Linked DNA regions of Rhinolophus ferrumequinum. The protein of the gene in region 1 binds, or shares a complex with, the protein of each later gene. Links are inferred from orthologs where the notes say so. Each region holds a gene or a part of one and is shown on either strand. Other genes may lie near its edges. The genes, in order: GINS4 and MCM3.

Region 1 (10,649 bases):
ATTAGTACTTCCCGTATAAAATGTGCATCCTTATTTTTCCCTCACAAATTTGGGCAAAGAAGTAAGTGCACGTTATACATGGCAAAACACAGTATTACTCCAAGTATGGACACCTCAACAGATGTATAATTTATAGATGCTCCGTGTAGAAATTAAAATGGGAACAATTACAATGCAATTCCATTTCTACCTCTAATTAGAAAGCTTGGAATTTAAGAAATTTAAAAATAAATCTCATTGTATCTGTCAGCTCAAGGAAACCACCACCTAGGTATAGATGAATCTTGATTGTATTCTAAGAGTTGTCCCTACACAGAAAAATTATCGTAATAAACTTTAGTCTGAAGTGGAATGACCCATTTCATTAGTTATATGACATTCTCAAAATGGTGCCCAAAACATGTCTATGATCCACTAACACAAAGAAAGGTAAGGATTAAAATGAAAAACAATGAGTGGAATTTTGATACACTGTTGAGCAAGGCTATCCTTTATCCTTTTCCTCTGAGTATAGTCAAACCGTTCCCTACGGCTATATATTTAAAAACAAAAAAGAGCTTGCCCTAACCTGTAAGGATTTAGAAATACCGAGTTTGGCCTGGTTTTCATTTAAACCTAAAGACAGTTCCCTAGAGTAAATTACATGGACCCTAATAAACATGAAGACCTGCCCAGCACTTAGACACATGAGCTTTTCATCAGATGCTCATGAAATAAAGGCACATGAATTTCTTGACGGAAAGGTCACATTTCTCTTTACTTGACTCTTACCCAGAAAATCATTAAGAAAATCATTTTACTTAACCTGTTAAATGCTGTATTGCCATAGTTTTTCAGAAGATTATTTTTTTTAAAAAAAGGAGAATTCATGCTCATTGCTTATTCTGCGGTGAGCAAATGACAGTACAGTTTTTGTATCTCCTCAGTGTTTCACATCCACCTTTCTTGGATATTTATTTATTCCAGAAAACTATGTCACATGTCACCTCCTCATGGAGGCTGCTATAGGCTGAATGTTTGTGTCCCCCAATTCATGTAGTATCGAAATTCTAACCCCCTAGTTGATGGTATTAGGAGGCGGGGCCTTTGGGAAGTGACTAAGTCATGAAGGCGGAACCCCCATGAATGAGATTAGTGCCCTTATAAACTTGACCCAGGAAACTCTCTTGCCCCTTCCACAGTGTGAGGTTACAGTGAAAAGACAGCCACCCAGGAAGTGGGCCTCACCAGACCCTGACTCCGTCAGCGCCATGATCTTGCACATCCAGCTTCCAAAACTGGGAGAAATAAATTTCTGTTGTTTATAAATCACCTAATCGCTAGCATTTTGTTATAGCAGCCCGAATGGATGAAGACAGGTGCCTATCCCAACCATTTAAATGTCCCGAACCCCAACACTCTCTGTTACCCAATTTTATTTTATCACCACCTGACAAAGAATTGTTACGTGTTTATTATCTATCTCCCTCCACAGGGTGTGTATTTCCCATCAACTGCTTTGTTTTTAGCACCTACACAGGACCTGGTAGTAGACACTCAAATATCACTAGATGCTCAAGAAATATTTGTTGAATGAAGAAATAAATGTGTGCATGAATGACAGGCACTGCGATCAATTTGGAGGATACCTTCGGGGAATTCATAATCTAATGGGAGAAACAGACACGTTAAAACTGCAATATAGCGTGATAAACGTTATATCAGAATAGTATAAGGTATACTGGTGACCTAAATAAGGGGTAGTATGTTAAGGATGGTTTCACAGAGGAAGAGTTACCTTGGCTGAGTCTTGAAGGATGAATAGGAGTTCATCAGGTGGTTCAATGGAAAGAGAGAAGCCTAGGAAGAGGGAACAGCATGTGCAAAGAAAGGAGACAAAACACCTCGTGTCCTAAAGTAGTTTGACACGACTGGAGCAGATAGTGTAAGGGAGGAAGCCCGAAACTACAAGAAAATCAGCAGCACTGTTTTCAGAGAGTGACTGAAATCACCCCAGCACCTGATGTCCTCCCTACTTCTCTTAAGGGAATTTACTCCATCCTCCAACAGCCTTCTTCAGTGCAGCTGTCTAAGCCTGAGGACAATGAGGTACTAGCTTACAGGTGCTCTGTTTACTCTCTGCCAAGGAAAATCTCAAGAGTGTAAAATAATAACACTGGAATGAGAGAATATCATCTTACTCTTTGCTCGAGGAGGCAGCCGCCTTTGGCAGGTATCGGTGCCTCTGCTTCCCTATTGACAAAGTTGAGGCAAAGAGGGGAGACGGCATCTACAAGTCTTTGTCCAGGCTCGGGAAGCTTTGGTTAGAGCAGAGTTTGAAGTCAGGGGTCTGGGTCAGCTTTCTTTTCAGAAGATATGAGGACCCCTCCATAGCAAACTGACTCTTTTTTGTTATTCTCAAGGCTGATACTGCAGTCATGAGAAGAAAGCATCCTCCTATTAACCACGAGAAGACAAAATACAGAGGTGGAGGTCAGGTTTATGTGTCTGTGCCAGAAACTAGGAACATATTAAGACCAAACTTAGGGAAGGAGAGTCACACTATGTTCCTATAAAGGAGCAGGTAGAGAAAATAGAGAACATGGTACCAAAGATTTGGACAGACGTTTTCTAGTTAAACAATATTACAAAGCTACATAATTCACCTTTACCTGTAAACTCTCTTGAAACGATGATCTCAAACCTTAGATTTGTAAAGTTTGTATCTTTATGGGGGACATTTATGGGTTAATTAAACGTGCTTGAAATAAAGATGGGCTTTGAGTAAGGGATGAGCAGCTAAAGTCTGAAAGGAAAAAAGGAATGAGGACTATCAGGAGTTGCCCAGATATTGCATTTGTCAGAGAGACCCAAACCTGGCCCTGACCTCTTGAGTTTCGCAGCATCTCAGGCACACGAGCAGTATAGCGTTTTACCACTGGCCAGAAAAATACTTGCAATTTCACCAGACAATAGCTTTTCTTGTGAGGCCAAAGAAAATATTCATAGAGTACTTTTCTGCCTTCCTTAAAAAATCCAAGTTGCCCTCTTAGTTTCCTATCTTTAGTCCAAATTTTCATTCCTTCAGAACAACTTGGGGTTAAACTTTGCTTAAGTACTACACTCCCCAAAGCTTAATTCTTTGGTTCTTAGGATAGTGAAACCAAAAATGTGATGAAAGTCAAAGAAAGGAAACAGTGAGAAACAGCTGTTGACCAAATGAGCAAGGGCAGTGATGATATGAAAACAATAATGATGATATTATCTTGTATTTCAAAAGTATCTTTCTGTAAAAAGACTCACAATATCATATGGATATGTATACTTTATCTTTATCCTTGGTGATTGAAAAAAAATACGTTCATTCTTATTATTGTATATTTCCATAGCTATCCACAAATATTTTGGCTGTTTCTATTTGCTGCATCTTTAACGGAAATAAATTTCTTCATTGAGAATTATCTGGAAATTACATTGACTTTTCACCTTCTTCAATTGCATAGGGTCCTATTTTATGTATCCTCTTCAACTTTGGGCAGAAGCCTTTTCTTTTTGCTATGTTTGTAGCTTCATGTTTTGCTTGTTTGAATTCATGTTAGCATGTTCATTTTGCTCGTTTAATCATCATAACTTGCCTACAAATTCTGTCCTACAGTTTTATTTATCACCATCAAACTTCATCTTCCTATCATAACCTATGTAATTCTCTTTTCTATGTGATTATTTTAATGAATGGCCATTTATATCGCCATGTAATTATTTTCTAAAACTTCTTAACAGTGAGTGCACAACAACCAGGTCTTCTGGATTTTTCTCTTCATTCTACATAATGTAACTTATGACCTGTCTTTTCTCCCACCTTCCTGAACTTTACAGTGCCACTTGACCAACAGTTTCACAAAAAGTTTGAGCTGCCTCCCCCAGGTAGCTCTATATATTGTTTTTGGACATTGCCTTAAATTCTCCTTCCTTACCTAGCAGAAATCCTTCTCTGCAAACTCATTTTACTCTCAAGTGGTTTTGTCTGATGAATGTTAGTTGGAATCAATGATCTTAGAAGTGAAAGAAGACCACCATCCCCAATTTTTGACCTGCAGGAAGGTACATATTGTTCTCACTTAATAGGCAGTGCAACTGAAGCCCAGACAAGTGACTTGTGTCAGGCAGCACCTCTATTAAATAAGGAAGCAGAAGCTAGACTCCACCTCCCCAAGAAAGTTGCAGTGGGAGATTGGAGAAGACAGCACCAAAGAAAGGAAGTTTGAGTAAGTAAACTAAGTAACTGGTACTTGTGTGGAGTAGTTATTGGTGCTTAGATTCAAATCTACAACACTTAAAGAATCTTAATAAAGACCATTGAAAAGCTAGATAGTAATGAGAATTACAGAACGGGACTGTGCTCAAATACTAATGTTCCAATCATCTAATGCTGCATAACAAAGCATCCCAAAACTTAGGGGCTTAAAACAACAATATTTTACCGACCTGCAATCTGGGTAGAGTTCTGCAGGGACAGCTCCCTCCATGTTAGCTGGGATTGCTGAAAGTCTGAGAGCTAGAATCATCTGAAGGTGCATTCAACTCAGACATCTGAAAGACAGAACAGTTGGGGCTGCTGGGGCTCCTTGAACATCACTTTCTATCTCTGTGTGACCTTTCCACATGGACCCTTCAGCATGGCAGCTACAGGCTAGCCAGACTTCTTACATATCAGCTCATTGCTTCCAAAGGGTGTAGCTCAAGAAAGAGAGCCAGGCTGAAGCTGCACCACCTTTCATGACTTAGCTCCAAAAGTCACACAGCATCACTTCTGCCACCTTCTCTTGGTAGAGGCAGTTACCAAGATCTTCCCAGATTAAAGAGGCAAAAACATAGACCCCACCTCTCGATGTAGGAGTGTCAACGCCATATTGTAAGAAGAGTACTGGGGTGAGATCTTTATAAGAGTAGCTATCTTTGGAAAATACAATCTGCCACAACTAAAAACCGTTGGATTACCAAATCACTGAAATGCAGAGCTGAAAGAAATAGACCTTAAAAGACCATCTATTTGTCATTAACAAAACTCATTTTGCAAGGCACAACTCAAATGTTTCTTCCTTTTGGAGTCCATCTTTGATGTCCTCCAGCTTCCATAGCCCTTTGCAAATATGCCCACTCTCTCACTCAGTTATATTCTATTGTAATTATTTTTATACCATGATTGCAATCAGGCAGGTACTATCAACCTATCATTTAGCCAAACTTTTTTTTCTAATCAAACAATATGGCATAGGAAACACCGCAAAGAAAAGAGTCTTCAGACTAATAGGGAAAACACATTTCGAGGAGAGTCAGAGGTGACACTTTCTCCAGAAAACAGACAGCAGAGAGAAAAGCATCAGCAATTAAGAGAAGAAAAACTGACATCACACAAAGAAAAAGATAAAGATAGTATATAGTTTTGCCCTACATTAAAGTAGAGACGGCATAAAGAGTAAATGTCAAAATAACCTAGACTCAAGTAGCTGAGATGGAAGCATTGCCTAAAGCAGTGGTTCTCCAACCTCATCTGTTTCAGACTCACCTGGAGAGTCTGTTTAACCACCTCCCATAGTTTCTGATTCAGCAGGTCTGGGTGGGGCCTGAAAATCCGCATTGCTCACGAGTTCCAAGACAACCTTGATGCTGGTGATCTGGTACTACACTTTAAGAACCACTAGCCTAAAAGTTTTTAGACGTGGAAGTAGTAGCATAACTGAAGCGCCGGCAAAGATGAAGGAACCAGAAGGGCCCAAGATTGGTGGGTGAAGATGACCCAGCACACTAAGTGACCTGATTTTAACAGAGGCCATTTCTCTGTTGTCCCCCCTACGGGACAGGGCATACTCGGGTGATGATGCTCCCCGATGGCCGGAAGACAGACACGGCCTCGTCCCCTCAGCCGCGGTAGCGTGGCGCCCCCTCCCGACCGTCCCTCGGGGATGTTAGCCGGGACCGCACACAAGCGCGGCTAGCCGAGGTGGGCGGAGCTAACTCGGACCAGCCTCCCGCCGCGTCTTAAGGAGGGAAAACACCCGGCAGTGCCTCGAGTCCCCGCCCCCTGGGGGGGGCCACCAGGACACCGGGTCGTGATTGGTCAGTGCCGCTCGTGCGCGGTGACGTTTAGCTAGGTGGAACGTTTCTAAGAGGAGCGCGGGAGCTGAGAAGTGAAGGGTTGATTACGTCCGGGAGAGAAAATTGCCCCCAGGTTCTCCTTGGGAGAGTGGTGCTGCTCCCCCCACGAGCTTCCCGTCCTAATCTCCTGCTACTTTGGGGTGCCTCTCTGCCTCCTAGGTGACCAGGTGAGCATCCGAGTGTGACCTTTGATAGTGTGTATGTGTGTGCGCGTGCGCTGTGTGTGTGTGTGTGTGTGTGTTAGAGGAGGTGGTTACCCAGACTCGTGGCACCGAGAGAGGAGAGGAGGGAGAGGAATATGCTCTGTTTCCCTGAGGCTCCGGGGACGACTTCTCGTCCCTGCCACCCATCTTCTTAGGGCTTTGGGATCGCTGTCTAGTCTGATGTTGCTGGGCCTTGCAACACTGATTGGTTCTCCCAACAATTTTAAGTGCCTGCTATGAGTTAAGCACTGTGCTAAGCGCAGGGACTACACAGGCAATTACCGTGTGTCCCGGAAAATAAGACCGAGCCGGACCATCAGTTCTAATGTGTCTTTTGGAGCAAAAATTAATATAAGACCCGGTCTTATATTACATATTATATTATACCGGGTCTTATATTAAAATAAGACCAGGTCTTATATTAATATTTGCTGCAAAAGACGCAGTAGAGCTGATGATCCGGCTAGGTCTTATTTTCAGGAAACATGGTATGTCCCCAGTTCTTACAAGTGCCAGGCACAGAGTAATTCATCTTTAAACTGAAGTGAACAAGGACCCTGAGGAGAGGATCTCTACCAGAAAGACGAATAATTATTGCATGGTGTGACAGGTGCTCAGTTAGAGTTGTGCCTGGAAGCACAAGAGGTGAGAACTGATAACCTAACCTAAGGTTTGAAGGAGGCAAAGAATTGAAAATATCAAAGCCTATGAATTCTCTAGCCACTGCCAATGAGCCTTTACAACCTGTTGTAGTATGTAGTTGCCTATTCTTGCAAATAAATGGAAAACATATAGAAAGGTATGGGTTCTTTTATTCTTAATAGGTTCCCAGTTTCAGGTAAGATGACAGAGGAACTGGATCTCACGGCACAGGACTCTGATGCGGGCAGTGAAGAAGTGGTCCTAACTCCTGCAGAGCTCATTGAAAAGCTGGAGCAGGTAAGAGTCCCAAATAGAATCCCCTTGCGCCAATCTTAGCCTTTTTATTTAGTCCAACTGTGCAAATGTCGGGAATCAGGAAACGATGAAATGGGATTCAAGGCTTATTTCAAGAGAAGAGTGACTGGGTCTTACCATCTGCCCAGAAATAAGAAGTGGGGGGAACAGTCTTTGTTAGAGAACTCATGTCAAACACAAACTTCTCCAGTGGGGCCAGTAAGGGACAGCTTTGGATACATTGAGTAGAACAGTTCACAGAGCAAAGATTTGCTACTTGGTAGTTTCATGGACTACAGAAGTGTTGTAGTGGAGACTTGTAAATTTTATGCCTTAGTCCCTTGAAACACCTGCTGTTTACTTATAGAATGCTTGGGTTAGCAAGAAAGAGCTGAAACACCTTTTTTAGGATTAAACTGGTCTTACTCTTCCTTTTCCTCCCAGGTACTTTCTTTTGTCAACTATTCTCTATATTTCCATTGCTTATCTAAAATCATTTCTAGGCTGTCTCTCTTTTTAGTCATAAGAGCTATGGTTTGAGTATTTCCTGTGTGCTAATAACTGTTATTTACAATTAACTGTGAAGCTCTGGTAGTTAGTTCAGACTCTGTATTTAAACCCCTCCATGCCACTAGTCTGTTATGCAACCTTAGGCAAGTTATATAGCTTGTCTCAAGCACTTTCTTGACTATAAAATGAAGTTAATAATAGTGGCTACCTCATAGAGTTGTGAGGATTAAGTGAGATTTTATATATATATATATATATATATATATATATATATATAAAGTGCTTAGCATATTGTTTGACATGACAAGCACTCACTGAATGTTAGCTGTGAGTAGTAATAATCCTTACAACAACCCAGTGAGGCAAGTATTATTGTTATCTACATTTTACAGATGAGGAAACTGAAGCTTAGAGATATAAAGTAACATGCCCAAGGTCACACAATGGCAGCAGAGCTGGGATATGAACCAGGTTTCTTTGACTCCAAAACTCATGCTCTTAATCCACTACACATTACTGCCTTATTCTTGTTGTCTCCCCTTTTTATCCCCCACTTTTTCTCGCCTCCCCCCCCCACTCCAGTTCAAGCCGTTGTTTCTCAGTCTAGTTGTGTAGGACACAGCTCCCTGCCCACGCTGATATTAATGAGCCTTGCACTCCCCCGGCTGAGGCTGTCGGTTGCTGGTTGTCTGTCGGCTGCTCATGGCCCACAGCAGCCCACGGCTGCTCACGCTGGCCACTGGCCACTCCTGGCAGCACAGGGCAGCACGCAGCAGCCCTGCCCACGGCAGCCCAGCTCCAGGGAGAGCCGTTGTTCACAATCTTAGCTGTAGAGGGCGCAGCTCACTGGCCCATGTGGGAATCGAACTGGCAACTTCGGCATTAGGAGCACGGCGCTCCAACCACCTGAGCCACTGGGCCGGCCCCTTGTTGTCTCCCTTTAACTGCCCCTTTCCAGAATTCTCTCATGTTTGTTACTTTAGTGTTCTTCATTCTTTTCTAACGTACACGCCATCAAGACTAACAAAATCAAAGGAACAACCCATATAGAATTTTACATCTAATTTCAGGAGTTTCACAGACACCCTGAAATCTGCCTACCTAGTCTGGGGACCCTAGTTTAAGAGCCCCTGCTTTATTAGGAGAGGGTTTATTAAATGGAAATCAAAAAGCATAAAGCATGAAGGACAAAACTGATATATTCAACTACATTAAAATTAAGAACTCTGTTTTTACATCTTCCTGAGAATAAAAAGACGTGCCACAGAACTGGGGGAAAATATTTGCAAAATATATAACTGGCAAAAGATTAGTATACATAATACACAAACTTTATAAATTGACCAGGAGAAAAATGAAAGTCTTAATAGGAATCTCCCAAAAGTGGAAACCAGGATGGCCCATCACCATATCAAAATAACATCCAACCTTTTTGCTAATCAGGAAACTGAAAATTTAAATCGCAATGAGATAGCACTGCATACCCACCCATCAGATTGGCAGAAATGGAAAAGATGAACAATATAAAGTATTGGCAAGGACGTAGAGATGGAGAGCATGTATACTGTGGGGGGCATGTAATTGGTTCAGTCACTTTAGAAAATAATTTGTTATTGTCTAGTCAAGTTGAAGGCATACACATCTTGTGGCCCAGTGATTCTACTGCCCAGTACACACCCACGTTCAAGTTCACGTGTACTCCAGGAGACATGCACAGAATGTTCAGAGCATTGTTCACAACAGTTAAAAACTGCAACTACTCAGATATCCTTCAACAATAGAACGGATAAAAAATGGTGGCATATACACACAAGGGGTGGGGAACAGCAATAAAATGAGTAAAAGATAGTTCCTGCAACAGCATGGATAACTCAGGAATATAACGCAGAACAAAAAAATATATGTTTCTAAAGAAACCATTTATGTAAAGCTCAAACACTTGCAAAACTATTGTGAAGGCAGAGCTTGCCAGCTTGGGTGATACGGCACAAACTAGTGCACTGCAAACGCCTCGGTGATGTTTACCCTCCACTCTCTGGGGCAGCCAGAGCCCCCAGACTCATTGCCTTTTGTGGGTGTCGTCAGGGGCTCCTTGGAAGGCAGCCTGAAGACAGTAGGATCTGACAGCACAGCCTCAGCTTGGCAGTGGGTAAGCATGAGTTGCATCTCGTGCCTGATGCTCTCTTGCAGTGTCCTGAATGCAGCCAAGAAGTTGGTCTATCACCTGGACAGCTGCTGCAGCTGGACACAGACTCGGGCTGCATGGGACTGCCTGATGAGCAACCTGACAAGGGCCCCTGATAAACACAGCTCTAGAAGCACATATAGGATATTCTTGATTGCCTATAAAAATTAATTTAGAAGTTATTGCCTACAGTGCGAAGTTCCTCATTTTAATGATTGTATTAGTTTGTTAAGGCTGCATATCAAAGACTGGGTGGCTTAAAGAACAGAAATTTATTTTTTCAACTCTGGAGGTTAGAAGTCTGAAATGAAGGTGCCAACATAGTTTGGTTTCTTCCGAGGCCTCTTTCCTGGGCTTGTAGATGACCGTGTTCTCACGGTGTCTTCACATGGTCTTTCTGTGTGTCTGTGTTCAAATTTCTTCCTCTTATAAGGGCACCAGTCATACTGGCCAAAGGCCCACCTACTCTCATTTTAACTTGACGAATATCACCTCTTTGAAGACCCTTTCTCCAAATACAGTCACATCCTGAAGTGCTAGGAATTAGAACTTCAATATGAATTGCGGGGTGGCGGGGGACACAGTTTACAGGCTATTACAGTTTAGCGTGTAATGTGATAAACACATTGTCATTAAAACTTTTAATTAGCAATGTGATACATCAATGATGTATTACAGAA
Region 2 (10,452 bases), on another chromosome or scaffold:
ATACTATTTTCTTTCTTTTTCCGTACTGTCCTAGACAAAGTTTTGGAACTAAATATCAAAGTTTATTCCTCACCTGACTACTGGAGTTTTGGGAGACTTGGTTATCTCCTAAATTTCTTTTTCTCTGCATCTTAACTGCAAAACAACTGTCCATTCTAAATTAAGATCCAAATAAAGATGATGAACATCTAGATGAATTTTGTAAGCTCTTTTGGCACTGTGTGTGAGGCACATGTATTTATTATATATTTATTGTGTGTGTGTGTATAATTTTTATCCCTCTCTGTCCCTCATTCCTACTTTCATCCAAATAGCTTTTAATCTGTCCATTTTTCTTCTGAAATGTCTCATTCTCATTCTTTTCTATCTGTCCCTTCTTTGAACACCCTTTCCAGGCCTCATTTCTTTTTATCTGATTTAAATAATCCATTCTACACATCCTCTGGCCAGTGGTCCTAAAGCACAACTTTGAAACTGTCTTTCCTTTACTCAAAAGTCATCAACGGCTTCCTTTGGCCTCCTAAATCAAGCACAGTTGTCTTACTCCATTGGTCAGTGTCCTCCACAATCAGGCCTGATGCACCCGATTGCTTCCAGTCCTCCCCTGTACTCATCTCTCCCACTCACCCTTCATTCCAAACACCTTAATCTCAAGACAAGGACTTGGTCATTTCTGCCTTTACATTTTCCTTAAAATGTCCTTGCTGCTGCATTTCCCTAGAGGAAATGCTGCACACCTTTTGATCCTCAAATTAAATACGACCCCATTTCTTTAGCTTTCCCTCATCATTCCTGTGTAAATTTGCCCTTTTTAATGCATATGGCACTTTATACCATGCCTAGAAGACACAATGCTTTTTCTCATGCTTATTTGTGCTTGTACTTCTTTTCCATACTAGATCATAAAGTTTTGATCTTTGTATCTCCATAAATACCTTGCATATAATAGAATAAAATACAGACAGCATTATTTATAGTGTGAGTAAATATTAGCATTGCAAAGCCCTGTTGGCTGAATAAAGACAGGTATTTTAAATAGTTTGAAACTTCAAAATGATGATGTACAGCTTCCTTGATGGATAAGTAGAATAAAAACTGATTATAACTAATATATAATTCACTGTCTCATACATGGCTCACATATAATTGAATGAATGAATGAATAAGCAAATGTTATAGGACACATACAGATGCTGGCCCACCTGGAAATGAGCAGATGGTATTCATCATGTCCAGAGAAAGGTCTTTCTATATCTTACACAGTAAAATAAGTAACAAAAACTACGAGGTGTGATCAAATAGTACAGTGATTGTTTAAATAAAAAATATTTATTACAGTAAAAGACACATTGCCATTCATCCTCCTCAAAATACTCCCCCTTGCGTGAACGCACTTATCCCATCATTCTTGCCACTTTCTGAAGCAGTTCTGGGAGTCCACTTTCATGAGTGTCTTTAGTTGTGCTGTCGTGGCTGCCTCGATGTCCTGAATTGATTCAAAATGTTTACCTTTCATGGTCAATTTGACTTTGGGGAAGAGCCAGAAGTCACACGGTGCCAGATTCTATGAATAAGGTGGATGAGGACACACCATAATGTTTTTATTTGACAGAAATTGCCATACCAGAAGCGATGTGTGACATGGAGTATTGTCATGATAGAGGATGAAGTAAAGACACTCATGAAGGAGGACTTCCAGAACTGCTTCAGAAAGTGGCAAGAATGATGGGATAAGTGTGTTTGAAGCAAGGGGGAGTATTTTGAGGGGGATTAATGGCAATGTGTCTTTCACTCTAATAAATTTTTTGATTTAAGCATTCACTGTATTTTGTGATCACACCTTGTAAATCAATTAAAATATTTCAAAATATAAAATATCTGTTCCCTTAATATTTAAGTAAATTCTACTGAGTCTTACTCATTTGTCCTGTTTTTGTTGTTGTTGTTGTTGTTTTTTTTTTATGAAAGGGGTTAGAGGGAATTATAGGTAAGGGGGGTTATTAATAATGAATACTTTTTTTATTGGGGAATATTGGGGAACAATGTGTTTTTCCAGGGCCCATCAGCTCTAAGTTGTTACCCTAAATAAACAAAATCAGAAATGAAAGAAGGGAAGTTATCATGGATGTCACAGAAATACAAAGGATCATCCAAGAATACTATGAAGGACTATACGCCACCAAATTCAATAACCTAAAAGAAATGGACAAGAAACACATAGCCTTCCTAGGCTGAATCATGAAGAACTGGAAAAACTAAATAGACCAATCAACAGTAAGGAAATTAAATCAGTCATCAGAAACCTTCCCAAAAGCAAAAGTCCGGGACCAGATGGCTTCACTAGTGAATTCTACCAAACCTTCAAAGAGGATCTAATACCTGTCCTACTCAACCTCTTCCAAAAAATGGAAGAACAGACAGTACTCCCTAACTCATTTTATGAGGCCAACATTACCCTGATACCAAAACCTGGTAAGGACAACACAAAAAAAGAAAACTACAGACCAATATCTATGATGAATACAGATGCAAAAATCCTAAACAAAATTCTAGCAAATCAAATGCAACAATGCATTAAAAAGATTATACATCACAACCAAGTGGGGTTCATCCCAGGGGCACATGGATGGTTCAACATACGCAAATCAATCGGTGTGATATACCACATAAACAAAATAAAGGGAAAAAATCCTGATTATATTAATAGATACAGAAAGAGCATTTGACAAGATACAACATCCATTTATGATTAAAACACTTAGTAAAATAGGTATAGAAGGAAAATACCACAACATAATAAAGGCCATATATGACAAACCCTCAGCTAATATCATAATTAATGGTAAAATACTGAAGCCTTTTGCTCTATGTTCAGGAACATGACAAGGCTGTCCCCTATGACCTCTGCTTTTCAACATAGTACTGGAAGTCCTAGCCCAGCAATCAGGCAAGAGAAAGAAATAAAGTCATCCACATTGGGAATGAAGAAGCTAAATTGTCACTTTTTGCAGATGACATGATGCTATATATAAAAAAACCTAAAGACTCCACGAAAAAGCTATTAGAAACAATAAATACAGTAAAGTTGCCGGCTACAAAATCAATGTACAAAAGTCCATTGCATTCCTATATACTAACAATGAAATCTCAGAAAAAGAAAGAAAAAAACAATTCCTTTTGCAATTGCAACAAAAATAATAAATACCTAGGAATAAACTTAACCAAGGCTGTAAAAGACCTATATACTGAAAACCATAAGACTTTTTTAAGAGTAATTGAAGAAGACACAAAGAAATGGAAAGACATTTCATATTCATGGATTGGAAGAATCAACATCGTTAAAATAGCCATATTACCCAAAGCAATATACAGATTTAATGTAATCCCCATCAAAATCCCAATAGTATTTTTTAAAGAAATAGAATCAAAAATTGTCAGATTTGTATGGAATCTCAAAAGACCCTGAATAGCCAAAGCACTCCTGAGAAAAAAGAACAATGCTGGAGGTATCACACTCCTTGACTTCAGTTTGTACTACATGGTAACAATAATCAAAACAGTATGGTATTGGCAGAAAAACAGACACACAGACCAATGGAATAGAATTGAGAACCCAAAAACAAACCCACATAAATATTGACAGATAATTTTTGATAAAGAAGCCAAAAACATACAATGGAGAAAAGACAGCCTCATCAATACATGATGCTGGGAGAATTGGAAAGCCATGTGCAAAAGAATGAAACTGGACTGCTGTCTGTCACTGTGAACCAAAATTAACTCAAAATGGACCAAAGACCTAAACATAAGACCTGAAACAATAAACTGCATGGAAGAAAACATAGGTACTAAACTTATGGACCTTGGGTTCAAAGAGCATTTTACGAATTTGACCTCAAAGGGAAGGGAAGTAAAAGCTAAAATAAATGAATGGGACTATAAAAAGCTTCTGCACAGCAAAAGAAACCATTGACAAAATAAAGAGGCAACCAACTGAATGGAAGACTTTTGCAAATAACGCCTCCGATAAGGGACAAATATCCAACATATGTAAGGAACTCATAAAACTCAACAACAAAAAAACAAACAATCCAATTAAAAAATGGGCAGAAGACCTGAAGAGACATTTCTCCAAAGAGGACATACAAATGGCCAATAGACATATGAAAAAATGCTCAACATCACTAATCATCAGAGAAATGCAAATAAAAACCACAATGAGATATCGCCTCACCCAGTTAGAATGGCCATCATCAACAAGACAAATAGTAACAAGTGTTGGAGAGGCTGTGGAGAAAAAAGGAACCCTCATACAGTGTTGGTGGGAATGCAGACTAGTGCAGCCGCTATGGAAGGCAGTGTGGAGGTTCCTCAAAAAATTAAGAATAGAATTACCATATGACCCAGCAATCTGTCTCCTGGGTAGCTACCCAAAAAATCTGAAAACATTTATCCATAAAGACGTATGTGCTCCAATGTTCATTGTAAGTTTATTTACGGTGGCCAAGACATAGAAACAACCAAAATGTCCTTTGATAGATGAATGGATAAAGAAGTTGTGATATACATACACAATGGAATACCAGTATTCTGCCATAAGAAAAGATGAAATAGTGCCATTTTTGACAACATGGATGGATTTTGAGATTATTGTGCTGAGTGAAACAAGTCAGACAGAAAAAGTTGAGAACCATATGATTTCACTGATATGTGGTAGATAAAACTGAAAACAAAAGAACAAGACAAACAAATGTAGAATCAAAAACTCATAGACACAGACAATAGTTTAGTGGTTACCAGAGGGTGGTGGGGAAGGGATGGTAGAAGAGGGTAAAAGGGATCAAATATATGGTGATGGAAGGAGAACTGACTCTGGGTGGTGAACATACAATGTGATATATATATATGATGTATTACAGAATTGTACACCTGAAATCTATGTAACTTTACTAACAATTATCACCACAAAAACTTTAATTAAAAAAAATAAAAAAATAAAAAAAACAAAAAACACACGCTGGGGCAATGAGATTATTCTTTATTGTGCATTGGATGGTTACATGGGTGTATACATGATAAAAATTCATTGAGCTGTATGTACACTTGTTTTGTGTATTTTACTTTATATAAATTACACCTCAAAATATAAGACTAAAAAAGTAAAGAAACCGCAAAAAACTAAAAACAAACAAAACTTGGAAATGCAATTTATCTTTTAATTGTAATTTCAGATTCGCTGTATCTTACTGATTGGTTCTTAAGAGTTGGCTTGGCACACTTTTTTTTCTCTTTGTGTTTATCTTTCAATAAACTGTTACTCTATTTTCCATCCCACAGATTCTCAAAATTCACTGTATTTCCCTGGATGCCGCTTGAGGGCAGCTGCTTAAGAACCATATCGAGCACACCGTATTTGAACACATTTTAAAAACCATTTGCTTTTATGTTTTCATTTCCTTCTGTTACAAACCCCCATTCTCTAACGTTTAGTCTTTGAATCCAACCTCCTGGCTCAGTGGGTTCACCCTTCAGAGGGTGAGGGAACCGCAGATTGAAAAAAATCCTCAAAACATCCGGAAAAAGGGGGAAGACTACGATTCCCAGAATTGATCGCTTCCAGATCTCGCCGGCTCTTCGGGTGCCCAATCACCAGGCTCTACGAGCCTCCTTTCGACGGCATTGGTCAGCTTCCTCATCAGTGAGGGCGGAGCCGCGAGAGAACAGAGCGCCCCGGATGGTACTTTCCCGCCGCCGCGCGGCGCTTCTTGGTAAATGAGAAGAAGAAGAAGAAGAAGAAGCTTTCGATTGGATACTATCTATTCGCATCAGCCAATGAGAATGTGTGTATCCTCCCAGAGACCCCGCCCCTTCATTGAGGTAACTTTGGTGGCGGGAAAAGTTCCGCTGTTTTCGCGCCGGGGCGGGGCTATCGAAGACCCGCCGCGGGGCTCCGGGGAGGTAGTTTGGCGTCGGCCAGCATGGCAGGGACCGTGGTACTGGACGATGTGGAACTGCGGGAGGCGCAGAGAGATTACTTGGACTTCTTGGATGACGAGGTGAGGGAGGCGCTCGGTCGCTAGGTTCTCGATCGTGGAGCTCCTAGGGACGCGGACAGGCCGAGGGAAGCCATGCGTGACGCCGCCCCACGCCGAGCAGCGACCCGGCCGGGAGAGGTAGAGGCCCGCCAGGCCTGCAGACTGCCGCGGCAGAGGTGGCGGGCGCAAGAACCTTCCATCTCGGTCTTGTGCATTTGCTCGCGGTGGAGTCAGTCCGTAGTTGGTTTCCTGTAGGTGAGCCTTAGCGATCTTATAACTTTCTTCTAAATACAAGTGATGGCGGAGTCGCGCGAAAGGCTACAGGTTTCCTTCAAGTGCAAACAAAGTGGCAAAGCCCACTTTGACCTCTTCGAAATCACTCTCGATTCTCATAATTTGGGGGGTAGGGTGGGGGGAAGTACTGCTATTCGACCGTAGTGATCCGCGGCATTGTAGGGTTCCCAGATACTGGATTAGAGACTGACTTCCTGTTGGGAGGAAAAGACTTCCTAATTTGGGAGCATTCTTTTTCAGTACCAAGAGAGATGCAGACAAAAAATGTTTGTGATGCAGGTAAAGGTCTTAGGATGTTGGTAATGCATCTTGAAGGGTTGCTGATGCTGTATCTGTAAAGAAATATCTAAGGCTCCCAACTCCATTAGGTCTGGATATGAGAACTCTTCCTGTATTATACAGATATCGGGAAATTAAATATTTTCATTCTGTATACAATTTTTAAATGAAAAGTTATCTTAATATGAATATTAAAAGCCCGTTTGATTTACATATTAACCAGGTTAGTATTTGTTGTCCTTTTAGACTTCCTATGAGCTCATTTTAATTCCCCATTAAAGGTTGAGAAATGACTGCAGACAGAAAAGCTATTGATAATGGGAATAATAGCACGGACCTTGAGGGAGACATAATCCCTACACTGTCCTTTTTCAGTGTAGATGGAATCTGAGGCTGCTGAGTGAAACTATGGGAGAAATTGGGGTTCAGCCCTGCCGCAGAGAGTGACTTCATGTGAGAGCTGCCTCTGTTTAACAACATCTTATTTTTGATTTTGTGGCTGTTATATGTGGTGGCTATTTTGCAGGAAGACCGGGGAATTTATCAGAACAAAGTTCGGGAGCTGATCAATGACAACCAGTACCGGTTGATTGTTAACGTGAATGACCTGCGCAGGAAAAATGAGAAGAGGGCTAATCGGTGAGTGGCAAGGGATTCCAAGGGGATATCCTGGCTGGCTCTGAGTGAGAATTGCTCCTCTCTCTCTTTTCTGCATTGGAACCGGCCCTGGATGAAATGTTTCTGATCTTGAAGCCCTCATTGCCTCACCAGCTACTATGTTTTCATCTTCCCAAAGTGGGTGGTTGGCCTTTTTCTCTCAAGAGCTTCTCCTTCCTTCCATGTTTAGCTGAGTATCATTTCTACGTCTTTGATGAGTTGAGGTTGGCCTTCAGTTCTGGTTATTTTCCTGAGTCTTGTAGGGTGGCAGAAGAAAGTAGTTAGATTTTCACTCCTTGTTCTTGATCATCTAAGAATGTCCACTTCTGATTCGAGGGTCAGTTTTTTTGAGTGCTGCCCCCAGCCTAATCATTCTTTCTCTTGCCCCTATGCAGCCTCCTGAGCAATGCATTTGAGGAGCTGGTGGCCTTCCAACGGGCTTTAAAGGATTTTGTGGCCTCCATTGATGCTACCTATGCGAAGCAGTATGAGGAGTTCTACATAGGATTGGAGGGCAGCTTTGGCTCCAAGCATGTCTCTCCCCGGACTCTTACTTCCTGCTTCCTTAGCTGTGTAGTCTGTGTGGAGGGCATTGTCACGAAGTGTAAGTGGGTTAACGTAAGGGTCTAAGGCAGCGGAGGTGGGATACTCTTAGAGGGGCTGGGAAAAGAAAGCAAGAGAGGTGGAGTAGAGCTGGGTCGCGAGTGTGTGGCTTCCGAAAGATGGAGCATTGAAATTATGGGGGGAAACTTGGAGGAGCTCCGAGTGTGCGCAATAATGAGGGGGACCTTGGGTGCCCACCTGTGCTAGCAGAACAATGAATTCTGCTGAGAGGGGACGAGTCTTGGGTATTGGCAGTCTCTTCATTCTAACCTTGAACGTCTATTTCTTAGTTGGTATCAGTTGTATGTAAAGTTTTACACGGGTATGGTGATATAAATATAAAACTAAATAAATGACAAGTATTATTGAAATAGCTGAAACTAGTTGGAGGAATAGTATTTGGAGTCATCATGGGCTTGCCTGCGTTAGATCCCACTTCTATCACTGTCTAGTTGGATGACTGTATATGCATGTTTTCTATTCCTAGGCTCTCTAGTTCGTCCCAAAGTTGTACGCAGTGTCCACTACTGTCCTGCTACCAAGAAGACCATAGAGCGACGTTATTCTGATCTCACCACCCTGGTGGCCTTTCCCTCCAGCTCTGTCTATCCCACCAAGGTGAGGGGAGTGAATTGATTGGGCCTCTTGGAGGTTGTAGTCAAAGATACCTGTTTTAATGCGTAGTTGGATCAAATAATGTATTTTCTGGGTTAAAACAGGTAATAACATGATAAATGGGGGCAGCCGCTTAACTCAGTTGGTTAGAGCGGGGTGCTTCTCACAACAAGGTTGCCTGTTTGATCCCCACATGGGCCACTGTGAGCTGCTACCCTCCACAACTAGATTGAAACAACTACTTGACTTGGAGCTGATGGGTCCTGGAATAATATACTTAAAATAAATAAGAGTTAACAAAAAAAAAAGTTTGCTATGTTTTAAAAAACAAAAAGATTAAAAAAATGCAAGTAATTGGATAATATTTGAAGTCTTTTAAAAGTAGGTAGGGTGACAAGTAAGCATTAACCTAAAGGAAAGTTTGATTGTTAGCCAGAGCTTAATATGGAAAGCTCACGTTTTTAAAAGAAATAATAAATATTCACTTTAGAAAATTTAGAAAATTATGGAAGGGTTGAAGGAAAACAGTCATCTAATCTACGTCAATCTTTTAGCAAAGTTATAATCATATAATTTTATAATTACTTAAAGTAATATGGAAAAACACGTATAATGTTACTATGTGCTTTTTGCAGGTATTTTACTGAAGGTTTAAGAGAAGGTTGACATAGGAAATGGCTTTATTCTTAGTGTGCAGTTTGAATTGAGGATGATGCGAGACTTTAATGAGATAAAAGAAGATGATTAATATTGATTACTTGATGTCTGAACTCATTCTATGAAAGACTACCTGTCCCCATATCAAAAATTTTAATTGAGAGCTACTATATCCAAAGAATTGTTAGGCATCCTGGAGGACACAGTTATAAATAAGACCCAGTTCTTCAATTTTACCAACTTGTGGAGGAATCGTAAACAACAAAAAACAAAGAGGAATATCTGAGAATTATAACAGAAACTTACTTTGGAATTATTTCGTGTACCTCCAGATGGCATGTTGAGGTTCAGAGGTTAAGTGACTTGCTTATGGTCTCCGTTAGTGATGACCCTAAGGAGAAGGACCTGTGTCTTTACTGTGAGGCCAGTTGCATTTCCTGTCATCTTAGACTCCTAGGCTCTCTGGAATCCTACGTGCTAGAATTTCTTCTCCAGGAAGTACTCAAGAAGTACTGTTCTACCGATTACTGTGGCCAGGCTTCTTTCCTTGAGCCGTGAAATTTACTGGACCTTGTCTCCTGGAAGTGTCTAGTGTGGTGCTTCCAAGCCTGGGTTTTGGAGTTTCACCTGCCTCAAGTCCCGGCTCTGCCACTTACGGTGTGATGTCTGAGGGAACTTGTTTAACCAATCCCAGCCTCATTTTTTTAATCTGTTGTAAAACGTGGAGAATACCTGCTTTGCTGAGTTGTGAGGGTTACATGAAACAGTTCCATGGTAATAGCACAGTGTTTTGTACATAGTAAGCACTCAATAAGTAATAGTAATTGTGGTGTTTTTTTTTGAAAATTAAATACCAAGGAAGTGAAACTTTAAAAGTGTTTTTATTGAAGTTTTAACGTACATACAGGAAGGCTCACAGAAGTGTACAGCTTGATGAAATTTCAGAAGCTGAGTATACCTGTGAGATCAGCATCCAAAACAGGAAATTGAGCCTTACTAACAATCAGAAGTCCCTCTTGAGAGCCCACGCTGCCCTGTTTGAGTACCCTGACGTATAACAGCATAGGTTACTTTTGCCTATTTTTATATTTTATCTAATAAGTACTCTTGCGTTGGCTTCTGTTTGTGAAATTCATCCATGTTGTTGTGTATAGGTGTGTTCCATACATTTTCACTGCTGTCTAGAATTCAATTGTGTGACTATACTACATTTATTTAACCACTGTGTTGCTGGCATTTGGATATTGTGTAGATTTTGGCTGTTAGGTATAGCGCTGCTGTGAACTTAGTAGTACATGACTTTGGGTGAATG

The links.
Region 2: GINS4 (region 1) and MCM3 share a complex: the UniProt entries of both Homo sapiens proteins name them as parts of the CMG helicase complex. The link is inferred for Rhinolophus ferrumequinum from reciprocal best matches to the Homo sapiens genes GINS4 and MCM3.

Annotation. Positions count from the first base shown.
Region 1 is NC_046287.1:58,828,670-58,839,318, reverse strand, and holds the start of GINS4 (DNA replication complex GINS protein SLD5), read left to right. Parts: upstream 1-6,152; 5' UTR 6,153-6,302; intron 6,303-7,162; 5' UTR 7,163-7,181; coding exon 7,182-7,277; intron 7,278-10,649. UniProt on the Homo sapiens protein: Required for correct functioning of the GINS complex, a complex that plays an essential role in the initiation of DNA replication, and progression of DNA replication forks.
Region 2 is NC_046286.1:20,243,741-20,254,192, reverse strand, and holds the start of MCM3 (DNA replication licensing factor MCM3), read left to right. Parts: upstream 1-5,809; 5' UTR 5,810-5,978; coding exon 5,979-6,056; intron 6,057-7,134; coding exon 7,135-7,247; intron 7,248-7,660; coding exon 7,661-7,869; intron 7,870-8,355; coding exon 8,356-8,486; intron 8,487-10,452. UniProt on the Homo sapiens protein: Acts as a component of the MCM2-7 complex (MCM complex) which is the replicative helicase essential for 'once per cell cycle' DNA replication initiation and elongation in eukaryotic cells.